Coturnix japonica: one gene and its partners. The protein of the gene in region 3 interacts with the protein of the main gene of each other region in a pairwise test. Links are inferred from orthologs where the notes say so. Each region holds a gene or a part of one and is shown on either strand. Other genes may lie near its edges.

Region 1 (3,961 bases), on a different chromosome or scaffold from region 3:
AATGAGGAGGTTGGGGTCACAGGTGGAAAAACTGTTCTGTGTGGTTTTGCTCCTGGAGGTATTTCTAAGCTCCGTGGAGATGTCTCTATTTGCCCAGTAGGTTCCTCCCTGCCGAGGGGCAGAGGTAACAGCACAGCTCCAGAGTACTGCATTTACTACAGGTTGGATAGACCTGAGCTTTGACCTGGCCTGTGCCTCTTACCAGCAGCATTGTGCTGCTTTGGTCTTGGCTAAAGGAAAGGTCTGTTTAATGCTCCTTGTGCTTTTGGTAAGGGCCGACTTGCTGTCGCATTGTTGAGGTGGGATGGTTTTGATTTGTTATGTAAGATGTTTCTGCTTTCTTTTCTTTTTTTTTTTTTTTATTCTTAGATCTTAAAAGGAGAATGTCTGTTGGATCTTTGCAATTTTACAGAAAATAAGTAAGTTATGGATTGCGGTTCTAATCATGGACTTGGGTTTTGTTTCTTCAGTTTCTCTGAATGCTAACTCTCACTTTTTCCATGTCTTACTTTGTCTCACTGCTTGCGGTGATTTGAGAACCAATGCTGTTACTTGCCTAAATGCCTCCTGGGTCTGAGATGGCTCCAGTGTCAGAGGGTGAGCTACAGAGTTTCTTCCTTAATGTCAGGTCACAGAAAGGTGCTCAGGCCTGGAGCAGCTGCTCAGGTCAGGGCAGAGCTCCCCATCCCTACCGGAATATTGCAGTTGTGTGGATGTGGTTTAGTGGTGGGCTCATAGTGCTGCCTGAGGATAGAATTTGATCTTTAGGGTCTTTTTCCAGCATAGATAACGCTGTGTTGTTCTGGCAGCTGTTAAGTTTTGTGTAGTCTGATGCAAATCAAAGCTCTGAAGTGCATGGATATGTTAACTATGCATACCTCAATATTTGTATGTGAATAGGGAGGTATTTAGGGTTGTTTATTAGTCTCCAGTTCAGTGCCTAAATCTGTGAATGCAGTGGGAGAGCTCAAAAGAAAGAGGAGCAACAGCTGCAGAACCACAAAAAAGCACAGAGGTTTCAGGGGAGGTAAGTGAATCTGTGCAGGAGCTTCTGACATTAAGTCTCAAAACTAATTTAAATGAGAAGATTTGTTCTGTTTTGTTCTGGATCCTGTCAAGAGCTTCTTCCTCTGCCAAACGCAGCTGATAATTCATTATTGCAGGGTGAGGTTTGAGCTGGTCTGTTTGCTTTCTGAGAAGCGTGAGCAGTGACTGCACCGCTGTAACGGTGTGGATCGCATTCAGATGTGGAGGTGCTGCCCTGATCCCTATGGAGCAGTGAGCTGTGCTAGTGTTCCTGCTTAAAGAGTGATAGTATTGATAGTTCCTGTTGTGCCAAATAAGGCAGTGTTCCCTATTCTTTATTAAATGATATCTGAGGAAACCAATCTATGTCTGCCCAAACAGAAGGCTCCGCAGCCTTTGAGAGGTTAAATGTTCCTCTTCCACGCACAGGTTGGCTGGAATTGAGAAACCAAAGGGGTTGTTCACTATCATGGATGTCAGTGGCGACTTGGGGCATTGAAGCTTCAATTTCCCTTCCTCTGTGCTGTTGAGGGAGGATGCCACTGAGCGCCAGGCAGCCAAATCAGAGCTCAGAATTAGTTCACTTAATGCAACCCCTGCTGCTCTGCTTGGACAGAGCTTTAACTACTGATGGGCTCTTTCAAAGCTGTTTGTCCCTGGGGTAGAAGCACGTTTTCTCCCTGTGTGAGCCCAGTGACTTATAATCAGGATGAGTTTTTTGTTCAGTGAGTTTTCACAGTGGGACATATTGGAGTTCAACTCATTTAAGTTGTTCGTGGTGAAGAAATCAGAATCTGCTAGGAAACTTGAGCAGCAGCAGGGACCTGGCAGATACAACACTACCTGATGTTAATGGAGCTCAGTCAGCCTGCAGTTGTTTTGATTTGGGAATTTCTGTCAACATTTTATATCCTGCACTTAGACTTCTCCTGTGCCATGGAGGCAGCTCCATTCACATCTAGATTCCCTTCCTTTTGAAGGACTTGCCCTCCATCTCACAGGTGTCTCCAAGTTCTGTTCCAAAAACAAGTGTCATCTCACTGCATGGGCACAGCACCTTCACATGCAATTCAGAACCCAACCTGTGCAATCATCTGACTTCCCTGAATACCAGCACTGGTACAGTACATCTCTTTCCATTCCCAGTCCAGAGTGATTCCATTTTCTTTACACATTACTATGAAATTTTCTATCTGTTCACTTTGCAGCACAGAGGGGAATGGGTACAAGAAGGGAATTGGGAAAAAGGCTTTGGCAGCCTTAGAGTGAGTCACCAAGTACCTCATGGTCCCACATTCCATGTTTATCTACTAGGTTTTCAAAACATTTGGGAGGATTTCTCCTGTTTCCACACAGTAGAGAGCATGGAACTAATTTAATGCTAATTATCATCTAAGAAAGGCAGTTCTTTTTTCTACTTCCTTAGGAAAGAATAAGGGAAATGTAAGATTTCTGAAGATGTCCATGTTAATGGTGTTTGAAGCACATGCATCTTCATTTGGCAGGTTTCAATCTAAAATTTCTGGATCAGCAGATGGGAAAATTGTCCAGAAAAGCATGATTCTCTAGATAGATAGATAGGTAGATAGTGTGTGAAGTAATTCAACTGTGGAGCCTGCTGCCATGATTTCAGCAGTGTCTGAGATTAGTGCACTGTGTGGGCATCCCTGCCCATGGTGGGAGCAGCTTGGAACAAGGCGATCTTTAAGGTCCCTTCCAACCTGATCCATTCTATGGTTCCATGAAGCACTGGTGGGAGAAGAACAGGCCGTGCAGTGCACTGCTGTGGGAAGCCTGGAGCTGAAGGCAGCCAAGGAGGGGCTGTAAGCAGGCTGCTCGTGTAGGGAAGCTCCATGTACAAGCACTGCTGTTACTGAGAGCATTAGAAGCTTTGAGTTTGTGTTGGCTTCAGTTTATGTGTTTGTTCAGCAGCTTAACTTTCACTGTAAAACTTTGACTTCTCTTCCAGCAAAGCATTGAATAAAGAATATGAGGAGTATGTTCTAACAGTGGGTGACTTTGACGAGAGAGTTTTCCTTGGAGCGGATGCAGAGGAAGAAATTGGAACTCCTCGAAAGTTTCCTGCAGATTTGCAAATGGGGAAAACAGCAGCAAGAGCTCACGTGGAGTGTCACCTTCAGCAGCACTTTGAAAAGGTGGTTCGTGGAACTTGTTTTCATGGGGAAGTACTCCTAAGTTTGGAGTCAAGTTTTCCTATCATTGTACGCAGTTTAAATCCCTGAGCCGACTTGGAAAAGCTGCTTTCCTTGGGTGGTTCACTGGGATGAAGGAGGTGAAAGACATTTGTAGGTTTAATCGGGCAGTCTTGCTAAGAGAAATTGTGGTGTCATCTTTGTTACGTAATGCAGTAAATAACTGCTCCTTAAGCAGGGTGGGAGCCTGTGAACTACTGCTGTTTTGTCCAGGAGAAATGTCTAGGTAGTTGAGACCTCCATACACAGAGTTATTTCGTGCTTCTTTTATACCCAGTAAGAATACCATGAAACCTTTCATAGGGCAAATGAGGGCAATGATAGAGCCTTTATTTGAGAAATGGGCGCTATAGGAAAAGATATCAGAAGGAATTAACTCACACCTCCCAGTAACAGCTTGGAGAAAGGGAGCCCAGCATTAGGAGGAGGAACTCGTTATTCTGAAGTTCTGAGGGCGTGGATTTGGCAGCCTTCCTTGGCAGAGTTTTAATGGTGCTATTTAAATCTTAGAAGTGATTTTGCAGGAGTTGCTCTTTTTGCACCAATTCTCTTAGATTTTTTTATTGATTATCCATCTCTCTCACAGAAAAGGTCATTTGCACCTTCAACACCTCTGACTGGAAGAAGGTACCTACAAGAAAAGGAAGCTGTCATCACTCCTGTTGCTTCAGCCACACAAAGTGTGAGCCGGTTGCAGAACATTGTGGCTGGGTTGAAGAACA
Region 2 (3,961 bases), on a different chromosome or scaffold from region 3:
ATTAAAGCATGAAGCTGTAAATTATCTTTGATAGACAGCAATGCAAACACACCCACACGTGCCTTGCTGGAAATGCACTGTGAGACATCCACAGCAAATTCTACTGCAGTGAGCGTCAACTCGTCATAAGAGTTTAATACTAAACAACGTATTCCAATGTGAATTAATAAGAAAAGGCTTGAAAAAATTGCAATGGCAGTTTGCTGTTAGTGAAGCTCCAAATTTGGGTGTTGTTATCACTGTCGATCTCTCAAGGATAAACGTGCAGAAATAAAGACAAGAGCCTTTCTGAAGCTGAATGTCCCTCTGGCTCCTATTTCACTCCAGGCTTCCAACACTTTACCTTTTAAGTTACGCTATTTCACATTTGTTATTATAGTTTCTAACTTTTGTAGCTAAGCATCAAAGTTACCTGAAGATTTGCTCCAGGTTTTCACTGGGGGCATTTTTCAGCCCCGCCAGCATGGTGTGAAGGCGGCTCAAGCTGTACGTTGCTATGGAAATGGGTGTCACATAGGGGTTGCTCTCCTTAATGTACTTGCGGCCAGTGAGGGGGGTCGACATCCGAAGCGATTTAGACTAGAAAGAAAACAAAGCATCTCTCTGTACATTATTACAGCACTCAGACCTTGTAAGAGACTTAAAGTGTCAGGTGCTAGAATTGTTTCTTAGCTGGTTACAATATATATCTATCTATGAAAGGAGAGCTGGAATCAAACAACCCAAACCAGTTCTCTCCCAGTAACAACCATCAGCATCAGGTCTATCTGTGGCTTGGATGCCTGTGTCAAATACTAACACAGAAGTATCTGAGCAGTGACAAAATGACCTCACGCTGAAACGCCACAATTGGACAACTCCTTCTCCACAGGAACATCAAAGGACTGTGCCAGACTCACTCTGTCAAAGTGCTGCTGTAAATTATGCTTCACTTGTACTCGCTCAGCTGTTTCCATTCCTGAGGGTGTATTTAAGCACCGTGTGAGAGTTCCAATTTCTTCATCTGCATCCTCCCCGAGGAATATTCGCTCATCGAGGTTTCCTACTGACAAGACATACTCCTCATAGGCCTTGTTGATGGCTTTGCTACAGGGGAAAAGAGAAAAAAAGCCCTTTAGTTTAGACAGCGCTTTCACTACCTGCTTTCTGACTGAACACACTTCTTGGCCTATCTGAAGGCCTCAGAACTTGCTTTTTCTTCCTAACGCTTTACATCGTATAGAAAAGACCATGGAAACATGAACAAGAGCAGACATCGAGCAATGCTATGCTGAAAAGGCCTCAACCAGCAAAGAGCTGAAATGCCTTTTAATATAATATATAAATAGTAATATATCTATAAATTAACTAGCTAGTATTAGTGATAAGATACAGGTAATAACCCAAAGGGACACAAATGCAGACCAAAGCACAAGCTGACTCACAAGCTGTCTCCAAAGTTTCCAGGATCCAGAAATCCAGTCAGATTTTCATCTTTTCCTTTTAAGAGCTGAAAGAGCAAAGAACGGAGACACGGCAGTCGTTAAAGTTCTGAAGACAACAAGTAGAGAAGCATTTTCTGCATCCTGAATGCACCCACCAACCTTCTTGTCAAAAAGTTTCCGAATGTACGGCTTCCAAAAATGCTCCTTGATGCCTTTTGCTTCTAAAACTAATCCGTAATGTAATGAACACAGCTTTTCAATGATGCAGGGGGGGTCAGATGATGTTTTATAATCCTTACTGTGAAAGTCTTCAGGCAGACCTATAGAGAGACAAAGGAAGTACTGTTTGATTCCGAATAGTCATACCTTAGTGAACTCACATTCTTTGCTATGATGCCCATGTAGCCTGAAATTAAAACAGAAAACTATTTTGTCCCCTCGAAAGAAAAGCTGTACACCCTCAACTGGATAATCTTATCAGAACTGCCTTTCAAGTGACAAACCCAAAGAGCTCAGATATTCAGTGATAAATAGCATCGGTTCTAATAGACAAATGATGAAGCACTTATGAGCTGTAATATTTATTCAAATAAGTTCAGTATTATTTATTCAGTAAATACAATACAATACAACACAGTACTGAAAATGAACCATACCATTCTGCCTACCGCCCACCTTCACATCCATTTCAGCAGCCTCAGAGGTTTGTGCAGATTTTAGATAAAGACTTTTTTTTTCCCAACATACCTTTAAAATTGGGATTCAGAAGTTCTTTGTGGTTGGGGCACTGGAGAGCATTTCCATACACCAGATCCAAAGCACATAACAAGAGATGATAGGAATTGACCAAGTCATCACTGATCATGGGAAAATTACCTTCAAAACAAGAAAGATAAATGAGATTAATTAAAAGCAGCATAGACTTGAAATTATTTCACAAAACAGAACTATCAAGATTTGCATTTCCAATCAACAGTGGAGTATTTTAAGCACAGATTTTGGTGACCGGATTGTCAATATCTGGATCGAAACACAGGGAGTAAAACAGACACAGCTAAAACAAAGCACATATCATTGCGTTTGTTCACCTTTATGTTCAGTTTTCTGATCAGAGTCTATAAATAAGTTCAGCAGATGAGAGCAGCTCTATGGCCACAAGGGTCACTACCTTCCTTTGCAGCATACACCAAGTGCAGGAACAAGACTGACGCTTTCTGACTTGTGAAACCAAACACAAGATGCTGAGGTTTGCAGAAATATCACGGCGACAAGCCTCAACTTGCTGCTGATGTGTGGTTGCCACGCTAAGGATTACTGCCGGCCCTCAAAACACAGCAAACAAATGGGGAATATTCAATTCCTCCAGTGGTGCACATTCACTTCACATTGTTGTACTGCCACACTTCATAAGGTACCACTCGTCACTTATTAATTTTGCAGTTCATAAGTACTGTAATTGTTTGTCTCATAAAATTAATGGGCTGTTATCAACACTGTGTTCCAGTCCACAGAGTTAATCTGTACGTCTGAAACTGTTTGCCAGTCAACACGTACTTAATGATGACCTGCTTACTCAAACATACCAACCAACACTCAGCAGGAACAAGACCTGCCCAGACCCTCTGTGCCTGTTCAGGAGCAACTTGCAGCCTATGAAGCAGCTTCTACACAGGACACAGTTGTTTGGTACAGCATCACACCTTTCTTCACATGCCTGCAAAGATCCAGGGATATTGCCAGTGACTTTTCCCAAATGAAGCCTGCTGGCAGCGCTCTGCTTGGTGGTGAATAGAAAGGCTCAGCTGTACAGGACAGAGCTACTGCCAGAAAGTCCATAGTGAGACAACGTACTGCGTCCTATCCTCAGAAACAACCAGGGAGATACTGCAGGAAGCCTACACTGACTGACCCTGCAATCCCAAGCAGTCCCACAAGCTCTCCTTTCTCATGAAGTTCTTATAATAATAAAACAACTCCCTGGAAATTACAGAAGGACCAGAATACGACCTAACTTACGTTCAAAGGACTCCCAGTGAACCCATCCTGACCGTACCCGAATCAATTCCTACTGTAGATGATGCTGTACAACTGAACAACTTAAGCCAAAAATGCTGGGGAGCTTCACTGCCCCTCATACAAAAGGATTTACTTCCATTCCCTTCTGTCTTTTTCTCCAATCAGTCATTAAAGAAGAAAAATGACTGAAATCCTCTGCTATTCATATCAGCTTTAAGGGTGCTCTTACAATAAAGGCAATACTTGCACGGCAATATACCGGCTCCTCCCTGCTTTGTTTCCAGGGAAGCCTGTTAACAGAGCATTTCACATGTATGATCCAAGGGAATCTGAGTCTTCCAGCCAGGCACTTAGGTGAACAAATCCAAGTGCTACCTGTGAGAGTGCCTCGAAAGTCCCCTCAGCTACAGCCTCATGACACAGTTCTGTGTTACAGAACAGAATCCATTATGTATTATCACTGTTATTTGAAACTTATAAGGAAATTAAAATCATTTTGTTCCTAGGGAACATAAAGCAAT
Region 3 (3,961 bases):
TCAACAAAATTCTAAGATACCATCAAGTCCATCTGTTTCACCCTGAATACCCACCACATGGCAAAGTCTATCAAATACAACAAGACAGTTGAAATGCTACAGGATAACTGAATAAACAAACATTATATAGGAGCATGAAAAAGCATCATGTGTCCCAAATTGATTTTAGTTAGCAAGTAGGTTTTATCTGCCTGGAATGAAGGTCATGATATTACTTCTAAAGTCTTTTTGTCCAACATTATGGAACATGCCAACCTGTTGCAAAGCGATGGCTCACCTTTGTATCAATCACAGTTACATCCATTTTGTACTGTGCAAGGTCAGCTCCTGGGTCTATGCTCCACTGAAGGTTTTCTAAAGGTTTTTCTTTCAGGTCTGAATATGACAAGAAAAGACAAATCAGAACCAAACTCTGAATCTTCAGAGAAAACATTTCAGGGTTTGTTGTTTCTCTCTCTCTCTCTCTCTCTTTTTTTTTTTTTAAAACAAAAATTAACATAAATAAATAAGACAGTGAAATAGGATTTCAGGAAGCCTGAGTTTAAGCTAGCTGTAATTCATGTGCTGCAGTAAGGCACTGTGCAGACAAACATGCTAAATAAATGAGATATAATATTATTCATTATTTGTTGAGTTTACAGCTGAATGTCAATGATATATTCATTATACAGTGACAAAAGAATATGGGAAAGATATTACTAAAGTAAAGCCTAATGAGATACAGAAGATTATAACTGAAAATCTTGAGAAGCACAGAACAGAAAATGACTAAATATGAAGCAGAAAAATGATCAATGTGGGAAAAGGCAGGATATAAAGAATTCTATTCATCTGTAGCATAAACCATGAGGATAAGGTACTAAAATGAAGAATTACCTTGCTCATTTGGCTGTACTTTATTTTTTGATAGTCTACAGGGGTTTGGTTGAAGTACAGATGCTGGTTCAGACTCTCCGTGCCCTGTCCTTGTTTTCTTTCTGTTTGGTACATGGTCACTGGCAACCTAACAACATATTGCAATTTTATTGTTTCCCAATATTTACATTTAGCATTTCAAGAGAAGAAAAACTGAGAAAAAACATACCTTCACATCATTAAAAAGTTGTTCTGTGTCTACAGTACTTGGCAGTGGTGTAATTTTTAAGGGAGGGACTTCTTCTTTCATTTGGATCTGTTTTTTTGTATCTGCAAATGTTTTTGCCAGCACCGCCTCTTGTATGTAGGGCTCCTCTTGCATACCTCTGCCAAACAAGCTCCTCTCGTTGTTGGCATTCTGAACTGACGATGAACCCTCATGATTGGGCTTCCCTAGCTGCAAAAAAACGTCATACAGAGTCACCTGCTTCAGTTTATTTTTACAGGTCTCCTCATTTCCTTGTTTTTTCTCTTGACAACGAACTCCACAGAAGCGATCAGACAGATCCAAGGGCTTATCGCCTGTGTGTTCCCCATTAACGTGCTGAATATCTGATAGAAAGGGTACAGAGTTCTCTTTGTTGAAAGATGCTTTTTCACAGCTAATTTCATTCTCATCTTCAGCTTTCTTTCTCTTTGCACACCTTCCCTCTGGCTGCTTCTGGTGTATGAGAAGGAAATCACTCTTGATCACCTCATTTTTAGCTGCACAAGTGTTTCCAACTGAAGTTGCAACTTCATTATTATTCTTTTTCACAACCATTTGCCTGTTGACAGAGACTTGGCTGATAACAGAATTGATTTCGGTTCCAAGATTCAGTGGTGCGACAAAAGCAACATCTTCAGATTTTGACCTATTTTTATGAGATCTAGAACCGGAAGGATGGTTGAAGAGGTTGATTTTGACATTATGCTTCGAATCAGAATCTAAAATACAAGACGCATGACTTGTACTTGAGTTGCTTCGTGTATTGCTAGAAGCTCCAAAAACAGGAGAAACTACCTGAGAATCCCAGTCAACACGTGGTGGAGTGTTTTGAGATGGACCTGAAAAACTGAACACAGTAAGAGATTAAATCATTTTCTGGTGGTTGGGGAAAGAAAGAGAGGGAAAAAAAATCTAAGCACTTTCCATCAATGATCTGCAAGAAGCTGTCAGAAAACAGAAGAAAAAAAGAACAGGGAAGCTTTAGGTCTAGGAAGAAAGGAATCTCTCCTACTGAAGGACTGTCCTTTAAGCGCTGTGAAATGGTAGAAAGAGGGAAGGGTTGAGAAAATAATCTATGTAGGCTCTTGAACAGATTTTATAACCATGACAACAGACTCTCAAAGCTTCTGCAAGAGAAGAGAAAGAGTAAAAATTTTATTTTCGGTTTCTTGTGGTTTTCTGGTTTTGTTTTGGAACTGCTCTGGTTTTCACTTGCAATCAATAAAACATATAGAAGATCATTCAGGGAAGGACTGCGTACATCGAAAGCTCACAAAGCACAACTCTGAAAGGGAAGTAAAAGTCCACAGCTTTGCATTTTATCAGTTCCTTTGCTTCTAGTGGTGACTTACTTACATCAAAGAAAACAGTATAATATGAAAATAGTTTTATATCTGTGTCTGTACCTTTAAAGGAAGACACTGTTTAAAACAACATTATTTTAACAAGTGGAAACACACCCCAAACTGTTGTCTTCATTTCTTGATTCAGGAGCTGAGTGCTTTCTTGAGTCTTCAGAACGTATGCCCTCTGGAGCCTGGTTCATCGCAGTACTAGCGTGGGGAGAACTCAGTACACTTTGGGACTCCTTGCAAATCATGAAGCAAAACAAAGAATGGAAGTGTTAAAAGCTGTTAAAGTCTGTAAGCATGCTAGATTTAGACATAAGTACTCCAAAGCCCCATTCAAATATAACCATTCACCTTGAAAAGTAACAAAAAAAAAAGATTAACTTTTCACCAGCAGCTTTTAAAGAAATCTAATGGAAACTTAAAAATTCCTTCAGATACATACATATAAACACAGGTACTATTTCTTCTTAAAGGAAAAAAGTACTATCATCTTAATTGTACTTACAAAGCAAAAACAATGGATACATCAAGAGTCTCAACACCAAGTAAGCTTTCTTAGTGTGCTATGACTTGATTACTGCACAAGCAGTGCCTAAGATTTATGCCACTGCCTTTGTCAAACTTGAAATACACGTTCATAGCAAGAACCACAGCCCTCCAGTCTCCTCTGAGTGCAGACAAGTCAGCTCAGTTACCTTCCCTATTGCTATAGGAATCCTTTATTACGTAAGAAAAAGAAAGCTAGAGTGAGCTTACTGGAACTCTAAATAAGTTCTGCAGAATTTTAATGCCAAATTGAAAAACATTTCTTTCCAAAACAACTGGCAAAAAAGTTAATTATGTGGGAAAACTGTAAGTAATACTTACGGATTCATCCTGAACAGCAAGTCCAATTGTTTCTGCAACAACCGCAGCCAAGTTAAAAGATGGCTTTGTAACAGGATAACCTCCCATCCTTGGTTTATCTTTATGAATATAAAGAAATTCACTTACTAACTTACATATATAAATATAGTATTATATTCTACTTACACAAGGGATACAGACTCCAAACTAAAACAAAATAATATCACAAACTGAAATCTAATTATTATAGAAATAGCTTAACCTGTTTCAGATAGAATCACATGGAAGCAATGAGTGGAGCAGAGGGAAGAAAGCATTTCTGATGAGAACAAACTGCTGCACTATCACACAGACATAGAATTCCTGTTGGTATCAAATTCCCCAAAATTAAAATACAAATCTACGCGGAACTTATATTTCAAACTCCAGTCCAGCGCATGAACTATCTGAGAACAACACGTAGAACAAGAAAACTGGATATTTATAGAAAAATGAATGTGTTGGTTATTTCTTCGGTGACACTTCTATTCCTGTATTTTTACTACGAAAGCCAAGATGTGAGTTTCCCTTCTTTTAGGGAAATAATGTTATTCCATTTATTAAACTGAGACAAAGTGATAATACAGCGAGAAAGTAAAAG
Region 4 (4,615 bases), on a different chromosome or scaffold from region 3:
CTGAACATTTGATAATTGTGTGCACTTTGCCTTTAATCTGTTAGAGCCTCAGTTAGCCATCCACAAACCTCAGGTAATAACTGCCTGTCTCCCATGTTCTACCCTTCCTTACACCTAGGGTTAAAGAAAGGTGAGTGGGGTTTTCCATTGAAAGTATATTAAACTCTGGGTTTACCTGACTCAGGCCTCATCTGATTTTGGCTGTCAACGCACCTTGACCTCAGCATGATGGCTTACAGGTCAAGTGATATTTCAGAAGCTGTGCAGGCCTCACTCACTCACTCAGCAATAAACCTCCTAAAGACTGCAGGATGCTGGGATTTCCCTTTGACAACTCTATTCTAAGAAGAATGCTTTCCCTGTATTTCTGATACAATATTTTTCTTTACAGTGAGGGTGACGGAGCACTGGAACAGGCTGCCCAGGGAGGTGGTGGAGTCTCCTTCTCTGGAGATACTCAAGACCCACCTGGACGCCTACCTGTGTGACGTGGTGTAGGGAACCTGCTTTGGCAGGGGGGTTGGACTTGATGATCTCTAGAGGTCCCTTCCAACCCCTACAATTCTGTGATTCTGTGATTAATATATAGTATGAAATGAAATGTATATGTATGAAAAAAAATCTGCAGAGGGAGAGGAATCTCCAGTAGTTCTTTCCTCACTTAAATAAGGTTATACGCACTGATATGCTCCAAACAGCCATGGAAACATTTCTTCTTCCTTCTCCCCTCTAAAAGGCATAATCTTTTGGAACTCCATTTCTTCCATAGCAGTTGCTAAGGTATCGATCAGCCTGTAATTACTTCTCCCAGCTTACCTCGTAGAAGAGCCCTTCCGGAAACTGCTGGAAGCACTGGGCACACACGAAGCACTGCTCGTGGTACAGCTCGCCATTGCTGTTGACGATTTTCTCTGCTGGCGCAAAGCCCCCTCTACAGCGCTCACAGATGGCATTTGCGAGTGCGTTTGCCATGTTGCTGTCATGAAAACAAGAAACAGAAAGAAAATGAGTTCCAAAGGCAGCACAACTGATTCTGGTTCTCTATATTTTTCCAAAGCCAATGGCATCAGCCTAATGCTAAGCTGTCCAGTGAAAACCTTTCCATGAACTTAATGACTTGTGGTGATCCCTTAGAAATAAAACTGTTTCCTTCTGGCTCCAAACTCTTTGGAAACAAAATCAATGCGTTATAATAACTATTGGTCATTGTTACAGATGCTGTCTCTTTATGAGGAGAACCATAGAATCATAGAACCACCAAGGTTGGAAAAGACCTAAAAGATCATCCAGTCCAACCGTTCACCTATTACTAATAATTCCCAATAATTAAGGACCTCACATTGGAAAATACGAAGGCTAATTCTAAAATAATTCACAATTCTAGAATACGAGAATACAACAGAATACAACATTAATTCAAAAGCTCTAAACAAGCAGTGTGGAAGAGTTTAAAATATTATACATGGTAGGTTGCTGAAAACCACAGCAGGTAAACAAAACTGTAAAATCACTTCAAGCTATGCACAACTTGTAGAAATAATAAAGTCATAGGATCTTTGGTTGGTTTGTTAGGGTTCATCTCCATAAAAGCAGATTGCAGCTCCTCAGCACCAGACCAAGGACAAGGAGAAGGTAGAAATACTCTGGCTGCAGTGCTGGGGTGCTCCACCATGACCCAGGCATAGGGCAATGCAAACAGGTGATGCAAAATAAAAGCTCAAATAAATAGCAATTTTGGTTGCTTCACAAAGGCATGTGACCACAGAATGAGTGTGATAGCTGCAAAGTATCAAGGGGATTAGCAGCTTCACTAGGATTGTGTTCACACATACAACAGTCAGTACAGATGTCTTACACTTAATTAAGGCCCCAGTACCAAAAAAGGGTCACTGTCCTCACAGTGAAACAACGAGTGGCCAAATTTCACAAAGGGGGTCAGGCTGAGGAAGGGTCTATTTCATACTTAAGAGTATCAGCATACTGAAAAACAGCACTGATTATTTGTATAAAGTATAGCTAAGCATACAGTTAGCCAATGGTCTACATGGATTACGTATGTTTTCTGAAGGGGGAAAAACGTCAGACACTTCACCCGTACTCTGCGTTAATCTGAACAAGCAGTATTCACAACATAAACCACGAGCCTCACCATCACCTCACCAGTTCCTGAGTATTAAGGGTGCTAAACTTACAAGTTACTTAATACTAAGTGCTGTCGGAGAAAAAACGTAATCCAAGTAAAAACACGTATGTAAAAACAGTGATGCATGCAACAGTCCTGCATTAGTGAAACAGCCTACACGTTCGCCCAAAACAAGCAAACAATCTGAAGTCAGAGACGACTTGGCAAATGCCAACCCTGCTTCAACCCCTGATAAAAACGTCTGACGCAATCACTGATTAAGTTCACAGCACCAGCTCAAATTCTAGTTGATGATTACAACTGGCAACATATCAGACACAGAGCTGTGGTAAAGGCTGCCTTAGAGAATGGCTTACAGAGCCCAGACGGTAAAAAACACAGTGACCATATGCCAATAATGTCACCGCGGTTACAGCCCAGAGCTGAGCAGCGCGGACTTACAATTTTGCGTAGAAGTCACAAAACTCTTTGTAGAGTTTAACGTCACTGTGCCTACGCTGCAGTTTCGACACTGGTTTCTCGCCTTCATTTCCCGTTGAGTTGTAGGCATTGTGAGAGACGCTGTAAGCGATCTCTTCATTCTCCGGGATCGCATAGGGGTAACCTCTGCGCTGGAAGTCCATGTTCCTCTAGCTGTTATCACGGGTATATATATTCTGTGCTTATATCGCGAGGGAGCTGGAGGCAAAGGCAGCAGAACAATGCGCCGGGCTTCCCCTTGTTCTCAAACCAAGTGACTAACTTTCAGCGCCTCTGTGTCATTGAGCCAGAGCTACCCAGCACCCTGCCAGAGCTTCAAGTTAAAAGCTGTGCTGCAGAGGAGCACATTCCAGCACTGGGCTGTCATGCACACCCAGATGCTAGAAAGGGGCTTTGCTGCTGGCTGCTGATGGAGAAATCCTCTTGGACCCGGAGAGCTGTTTTGTGAGCAACCAATGTGATCCAAGGTGTTCCTCAGCAAACCTGTCCGCAGGCTTATGTCTGCTGAGGGGATGGATGTGGATTCCAACAAGGCTTTGTCATGGGCTAACCAGCATGAAGAAGAGGCTTCTGTCATTAGGTAAATATTGTTTCAATGCTTGGGCATATTAATCACACTGTAAAAATGGCCTTTTAATGCTCCACTTATACCTTCTAAGGTATATATGCTGCATTTATCTATAGGCACCTTCCTTCTCATCAGCACTTCACAGAAAGCATAGATACAGAGGGCCAGTTTGTTTTCTGTTTTGCCTCACAGGCTGTTAACTGAAGTGCCAAGTATGCTATAATAGATGAAGGAAATGAAACGGAGCGTGATTTTCAGTACTGTGCTGCATTTAGAACAATCACCGAACACGAGGATGCTCCATAGATTTGAACACTGAAGTAATGCACTGTGGATATCAGGAAAGCGAGAAAGCAAGACCAGGAAGAAAGAAGCAAGAGTGAAAATGAATCATTCCTTCACCACAGAAAACCGTCCCAATGTTGCGATTATTTTACAGTTATGCTCTCTTCAAAAATCTAAAAAACCTAGCAAATTAAACTCATTCTTGAGCATTGATTGAGCTCTGCACCACATGTCTCAGCACTGGCTGAGGTAACTGAGTGTGTGCCCAGCAGAGGACATGATGCTCTCAGCTCAAACCTGGGCTCACACATCACTGTCTTCCCATGGCCTGGCCAATGCAGTGCTACAGATTTTCTTCTGGAAAGCAAAAGCAAACAGGCCAGATTTCAGGAATGGGTTTGGTCAGGGTTCTTCCCTTTAATTCCCCTTGGTGGCTTCCAAGCAAGCTGCTCCCGTGTGTCACAAGACATCATGGCAGGTGGGGCCAAGGCAGCATGACCTGTGTGTTTATGCACACACAGGTCTGATTATCCATCTTAGGATCATCAGGAGCCGCAGGTTGTAACAGGTTGAGGAGGCTGGAGCTCAAGCCCTATATTTATCTGCTGTGGGGCAAGCTCTAGACGAAGCACTGCTTGGGTCATAGCTATAGGTCATGATGACATTGCTGGTGCAGCACTGTGGGAAGCAGTGCTGGAGGGAAAGGCTTCTCCTCCTCCTGCTGCAGCACCCATGTCTTCTGTGCTCCCCGATGTGCCTTCTGGCTAAAGCAGACTTGTTCTGCAGGCTGCTGGCACTGCTGCCAACTGAGTTACTCCTGACTCCTTCCCCGGGAGGGAAGAAAGGAGCTTGCCAGGAGTTTAAAAAGGGCCTTCAGGCTACCAAAACAAAACATAGTTTCTACTGGGATGGTCTGGTAATCCACAAAGGCACAGTAACTGATCATCTTTCTCTCTTTTTTTGTCACTTTGCTGCTATGATCTACACCGGGCTGACTAAGACCCTCTGTATCTTCACCAGTAACTCAAGGTAACCCTGAGGTGCCACAGACCAGGGAGTGAGGAGCCACCAGGCCAGGAGGGGCTGCTGGCATCCCCCAGGGCTGGATCAATTCCTACATGCCTTGGTAGTGAGAATAA
Region 5 (4,753 bases), on a different chromosome or scaffold from region 3:
CATTAGTAGTTAATAGGGGGACGCCCCACCTCCAGATTTCAAAAGGTTAATGAAAATCAAGTATCTTGCCTTTACTGGGAAACTTGGAAAGCTTCCCACCAAACATTTCTGTTTTTGTGATAAATAAGCCAGACCGCTTCAGCTGAGAAAGACGGGTGTTTTGCTAATGTGTACAGCTGTTAATTGAAAAAGATTCTGTTATGCCTGTTCTTCTGGACATAGATAAAAGAGAGATTTGTTGGTGAACTTTAGTTGGTCCTGAACACCCCTTTGTCCAAATACACTGCTCAATAATAACGCTTTGTTCTGTCTGTAACAGCCATGGAAGGATTTTGAGTGGAATACTCATTTTCTTTAAGTCATATCTGCCAGTGATCATTCTTGGCTTAAGATCAGCTGCCATTTATGTGTTTTATGAAAATATAACACCAGTTTTATGCTCAAAACTATTCTTTTTTAGGTAAAAGCTTCAGCACAAACTGGTTCCCCATATGTACCATAAATGCTATTTATCACAGGTTTTGGTCTTTAAAACAGAAAGATAATGTTAAAACATTTTCATTATCCTTTCCTTACAGCTATCATTCACAAACCATCTTTTATAATTATGGCACTAGGACATTTACATAACTGGGAAAAAGGTCCTTAAACTACATTTCTATTATGTTTGGCACTTGTGTGAAAGGATATTATATTCATGTGCATTAGAGATTGCTTATAAAAGATCAAGACAATAATAGCAGATCAGACGATAAAGGTTCCCTTTTCTCCTCCCAGACAGGCTGTCTCTGACAGAAGAATACAGTTCATCAAAAGTGTCTGCAGGTTGTCAAACTCAGTGAGATTTGGGGACACTCGGAGGCTGTCATGGCCAACAAGAAGATTTTCTGTAGGGTTCTGCCATCATTCACCCTCAGGAAATAATCACTCACTACATTCTGCATGCTCTCATGATAGAGCTCTATTTGAGAGAAAAGAGCCATTTTATCAAAGGACAATATATCCCTTCTCTTGGTCCATGCAGCTTCCATTATCAGACTATAATAAATCATATTTATGTTCTCAGTTAATAAGACTGATTACAATGCAGGTTACAGGCATGGGAAAAGCAAAGCAGGTGAAAAGATGTTTTAATGAAAATATGATAAGCAAACAGCTTCTTGTGAACATTTCAGGCTGTTATTTGTAATGATCACAGGCATTTTTTGATACATCTTCCTTAGCAATGGTTTAAGCTGCATAAATTGGCTTGCCACTTTATACGTCGAAATAGGAAGAATCCCAATGTCCTTCTCATGTTGTCTGGAATCATTATATACATTATAAGCATAAAATGAGTTTAATGTATGTGCTTTGAAAAGAAGGGGAAAACAGAAAATCAGGGAGGACTGATTTTAATGCTGCTCAAAATGATTTTGAAATTTTCTGCTCATCTTTGTTACTAACGGAGCATTTTCCATGAAATTTAGGAATGACATGTGGTGCTTTCATCTCCTTAAAATTAATATACTTCTCTTTCTGTTTTTCTCAATTTCTTCAAAGTTCTTTTTAGAACACTGTGCAAAGACAGAGAGAAAATTCTCCACTCGATGTGTGAACATATCTGTTATTAGTGCTGGGGGGAGTTAAGTGTGTGCTTCTAGAGGAGAATATAGCTCTGCATTAAATACTGGAGTAAACCCTATTAAAAAGGTGCAGGGATATTTAGCTGCAGCACACCTGATGCATTCAAAGGCCAAATTCCTTGGAATCTTTTAAAGTGATTAAGATCTCTTTTGTTAAGAATTCTCCAATGATTTCAGAATGTAACTGTACCTAAATAGCTGATAAAATGTCCTGCTCTTGTCTTGCCAAAAGCTTTCTTTTATGTTTTATTGTTGCTTTTTTTTTTTTTTCGTAGTCATTTGGTTTATGTTTAGCATCATACTTTCAAGACAAAGTTAAAAATTTAGAGAATAATTTCCTCCTGCTAGCACATAACGCTGACTAAGTACATCAAAATCTACAGCACTTGCAGAATGCGAACATTATGCTTATAATGTATATAATGACTCTAGACAATATTAGAGGGACACTGGGATTCTTCCTATTTTGACAAAGTGGCGAGCAAATGCAGAAGTCTCTGTGGTGTTGTGTGTCTGCAGGAGCTGTTCTGGTCACTGACACTTCTAAAACTCTCTTAAATAAATGTTAAAGCGTTGTAATGGGCCTGGCAATGGAGAATGACCATGAAATTTCCTTAACCCTCTTAGGGTGCTTCAGCAGAAGTGATCTCACAAGAAACAGTAAACTGCTCTTCAAAGGCAGTATCCTGATATGACAACAGATGTAGATAATGCACTTCATGATGGAACTGCTTGATACAGAGAAAAACATGTTGTAACTGCCTTCACCGTGAAAGGGGTTTAAAAATGCTGCCTGCCAACTCCACAAAAAAACAGAGCTGCTATTTCAGTTAAAGGCCAGTGGATTGTATTTTTCATGTCAGTTTTCACTAACCTCAAACATCACTGTTATGACAGACTGTCAACCAACCAAACCAGAACTGTGGTGCCATTCAGGCAAGAAGGAAGAAAGCAAACACAAAGGAAACTTAGAAGTCCAAATAGTAAGAGGGGGTGCCTATGAGTGCACTTTTGTGCAGTGATACTGATTACTGAAAATGAAACACTTAAAAGAAAATAAACCCAAAAAAGTGCTTTCTGAGCCATTAGTGTTTTCTTGCCTGGCAGTTTCTCTTTGTTCTGTTTCATGACATCAGCCTCGGTGGTTGAAAGGGTGTTCTGGGCCAGATGTCAATCACACTGTCTGACATAAACAAAAATAGCTAAAAAGACATGCCAGCATCTTCCTTTTGTTTTCCCATTAGCTCCATTTTTCTTTTCAGAGGCTGACAAAAAATTACTGCCTCCGAGTGAATTCAGTAATGTCACTATATATCTAATATCTAGGAGACCTTTTGTTTTAGCTTTACTGGGCTTAACCACAAAAGACACTTGACATTGACAAAGAGTCTGTCAAATACACAATGATCAGTGCAATGAAATCTCTCATGACAGAAGGGCACTATTCTGCACCCCCAGCCTGCAGCAGCCTGTCTGAGCAAAATGTGCTGGAGCACACACAGCAGCTGAACCATTGCAGAGCAGGCCATAAGCTGAGATGTGTCTTGTTTAAAGTGTCATAGTATATTAGTGTAATTAAAACCGCCAAAAGAATAGAAAAGATAGATGGAAATGTTACATTACTTGTTTCTAGAGATTAACCTCCAGCCAGAACTGAAATACAGAGACACATTTTGCATGTCTTAGAGCTCAGATATGGAAGAAAACAAGCCTGAGAGTATGTCTCTTGAAGTGTGAGACATGAAGTCATAGTTCCTGTATTTACACAATAAAGCAGAAATAGCATTTCAGACAGGCACGCTGTTTTCTCTCTGATTACAGCTCCTGTTGTGGCTGTACTCTGCAAAGCAGCTGTATCATCTCTCAGCTACTTCTATTTTACTCTCTCTGCCTTCGTTCTTGGAAGATCTTGAGGACCCTTGTGCTGGTGTCAATGCCTTCTGCTCCCTTGGCATCTGCCAGAGTTGTGTGGGCCCCGCCTGGAGGCAGAGCACCCTATTCCTGCCGGTGGCTGCAGAAGCCACAGCTCAGCTCCAGGCTCAGCAACACCCAGCTAGGGAGATGTCTGAAGAGTGGCTTCAATATGACCTTTATATGCCAGGCTGCATGCTTGCTTCTCTGCTGATTCTATAGATAAAACTGTATGGCTTTCTGAAGTTGACCCTGAAAATTATGTTCCCAGCACTGCATGTTTTCCTTCCCATGCATCATTACCTGTGATAACTATTCAAGCCTAACTAGTTATGAACTCTGTTTCTAACCATGACACAAGTTAAATCTGTTGGTAAAAAAGCCTTGAAGTTTTTGTGGACCTGTTCTGCTGTATAGTCTGAACCTTGGTTAATCCAGAATCTGGAGAGGACATGATCTGGCTTCAGCAGTTCTGAAACACTGCAAAAGCAGCATGGCTTTCTTCTAACGTAAGCCTTACATTCAAGGAGAAGATGCATTAATCACGTAGGTCTCATGTTCATTTCTTCCACTATAAATGAACTTCAAGGCTTTGCCCCATTAGTTGGTCAGTTTGAAGTTAAGAGATGTTAAATATAGGCCTTACATTTTCGGTTTCCTCATACTTCCTCTATTTCCCAGCTTTAAATATCAGTTAATGACTTCTCCATATAACAGTACTCTTTAATTTCTGGTCAGAGGCTGTAAATGTGCACTGTTAGTCAAAAATATGTTATCTGCATTTAGTGTTGGCTTCTGGAGCCTTCACCACCAAGTTACCTCACAGTCGCATCTCTCTTCACGTGATTTTCCAGGTACTGCCAGGAGAAGAATGGAAAATGACTATGAAATAAAAGCACATTCTGCTCCCATTACAGGCAATGAAAACTGTGCTTTTACTTCTACTTACTCATAATGGTGGGGGGAAAAAATGAAGTGGAAACAAGCACAACAAAACACCTCTGCCAGCTATCTATAAGCTAACCAAGGCTTCCACTAATGAGGTGGTCTGGCATTTTGAGAAAGACGGGTTTTTCCAGAAATGGAAAAAATATGCTGTTTTTTTCCTTCAACTCTGAGAGCTTAGTGAGAGAGTAAGAAATTGCATTTCAGAGGGATAGCAAACTTTTAATGCTCTCAGTATTATTTAATACTTACAGACACCAGTGTAGTTTCTT

Evidence for each region.
Region 1: the proteins of RBBP8 (region 3) and RBL1 interact in a two-hybrid assay, tested with the Homo sapiens proteins (2 studies listed by BioGRID and IntAct). The link is inferred for Coturnix japonica from reciprocal best matches to the Homo sapiens genes RBBP8 and RBL1.
Region 2: the proteins of RBBP8 (region 3) and RBL2 interact in binary tests that used the Homo sapiens proteins (3 or more experiments, as listed by UniProt). The link is inferred for Coturnix japonica from reciprocal best matches to the Homo sapiens genes RBBP8 and RBL2.
Region 4: the proteins of RBBP8 (region 3) and LIMS1 interact in a two-hybrid assay, tested with the Homo sapiens proteins (2 studies listed by BioGRID and IntAct). The two-hybrid records come from large-scale screens. The link is inferred for Coturnix japonica from reciprocal best matches to the Homo sapiens genes RBBP8 and LIMS1.
Region 5: the proteins of RBBP8 (region 3) and LMO4 interact in binary tests that used the Homo sapiens proteins (3 or more experiments, as listed by UniProt). The link is inferred for Coturnix japonica from reciprocal best matches to the Homo sapiens genes RBBP8 and LMO4.

What each region holds. Positions count from the first base shown.
Region 1 is NC_029535.1:560,236-564,196, reverse strand, and holds part of RBL1 (retinoblastoma-like protein 1), read left to right. Parts: intron 1-369; coding exon 370-419; intron 420-425; exon of another isoform or gene 426-597; intron 598-604; exon of another isoform or gene 605-2,089; coding exon of another isoform or gene 2,090-2,145; intron 2,146-2,995; coding exon 2,996-3,182; intron 3,183-3,825; coding exon 3,826-3,961. UniProt on the Homo sapiens protein: Key regulator of entry into cell division. Directly involved in heterochromatin formation by maintaining overall chromatin structure and, in particular, that of constitutive heterochromatin by stabilizing histone methylation.
Region 2 is NC_029526.1:4,019,047-4,023,007, forward strand, and holds part of RBL2 (retinoblastoma-like protein 2), read right to left. Parts: intron 2,301-3,961; coding exon 2,172-2,300; intron 1,745-2,171; coding exon 1,584-1,744; intron 1,490-1,583; coding exon 1,425-1,489; intron 1,087-1,424; coding exon 900-1,086; intron 580-899; coding exon 413-579; intron 1-412. UniProt on the Homo sapiens protein: Key regulator of entry into cell division. Directly involved in heterochromatin formation by maintaining overall chromatin structure and, in particular, that of constitutive heterochromatin by stabilizing histone methylation.
Region 3 is NC_029517.1:92,790,338-92,794,298, reverse strand, and holds part of RBBP8 (DNA endonuclease RBBP8), read right to left. Parts: intron 3,441-3,961; coding exon 3,343-3,440; intron 2,712-3,342; coding exon 2,584-2,711; intron 1,971-2,583; coding exon 1,085-1,970; intron 1,004-1,084; coding exon 877-1,003; intron 376-876; coding exon 278-375; intron 1-277. UniProt on the Homo sapiens protein: Endonuclease that cooperates with the MRE11-RAD50-NBN (MRN) complex in DNA-end resection, the first step of double-strand break (DSB) repair through the homologous recombination (HR) pathway.
Region 4 is NC_029516.1:122,924,617-122,929,231, reverse strand, and holds the start of LIMS1 (LIM and senescent cell antigen-like-containing domain protein 1), read right to left. Parts: upstream 2,862-4,615; 5' UTR 2,767-2,861; coding exon 2,585-2,766; intron 977-2,584; coding exon 817-976; intron 1-816. UniProt on the Homo sapiens protein: Within the IPP (ILK-PINCH-PARVIN) complex, binds to F-actin, promoting F-actin bundling, a process required to generate force for actin cytoskeleton reorganization and subsequent dynamic cell adhesion events such as cell spreading and migration.
Region 5 is NC_029523.1:13,758,155-13,762,907, reverse strand, and holds the start of LMO4 (LIM domain transcription factor LMO4), read left to right. Parts: upstream 1-1,917; 5' UTR 1,918-4,753. UniProt on the Homo sapiens protein: Transcription cofactor. Plays a role in establishing motor neuron identity, in concert with MNX1, acting, at least in part, to disrupt LDB1-LHX3 complexes thereby negatively modulating interneuron genes in motor neurons.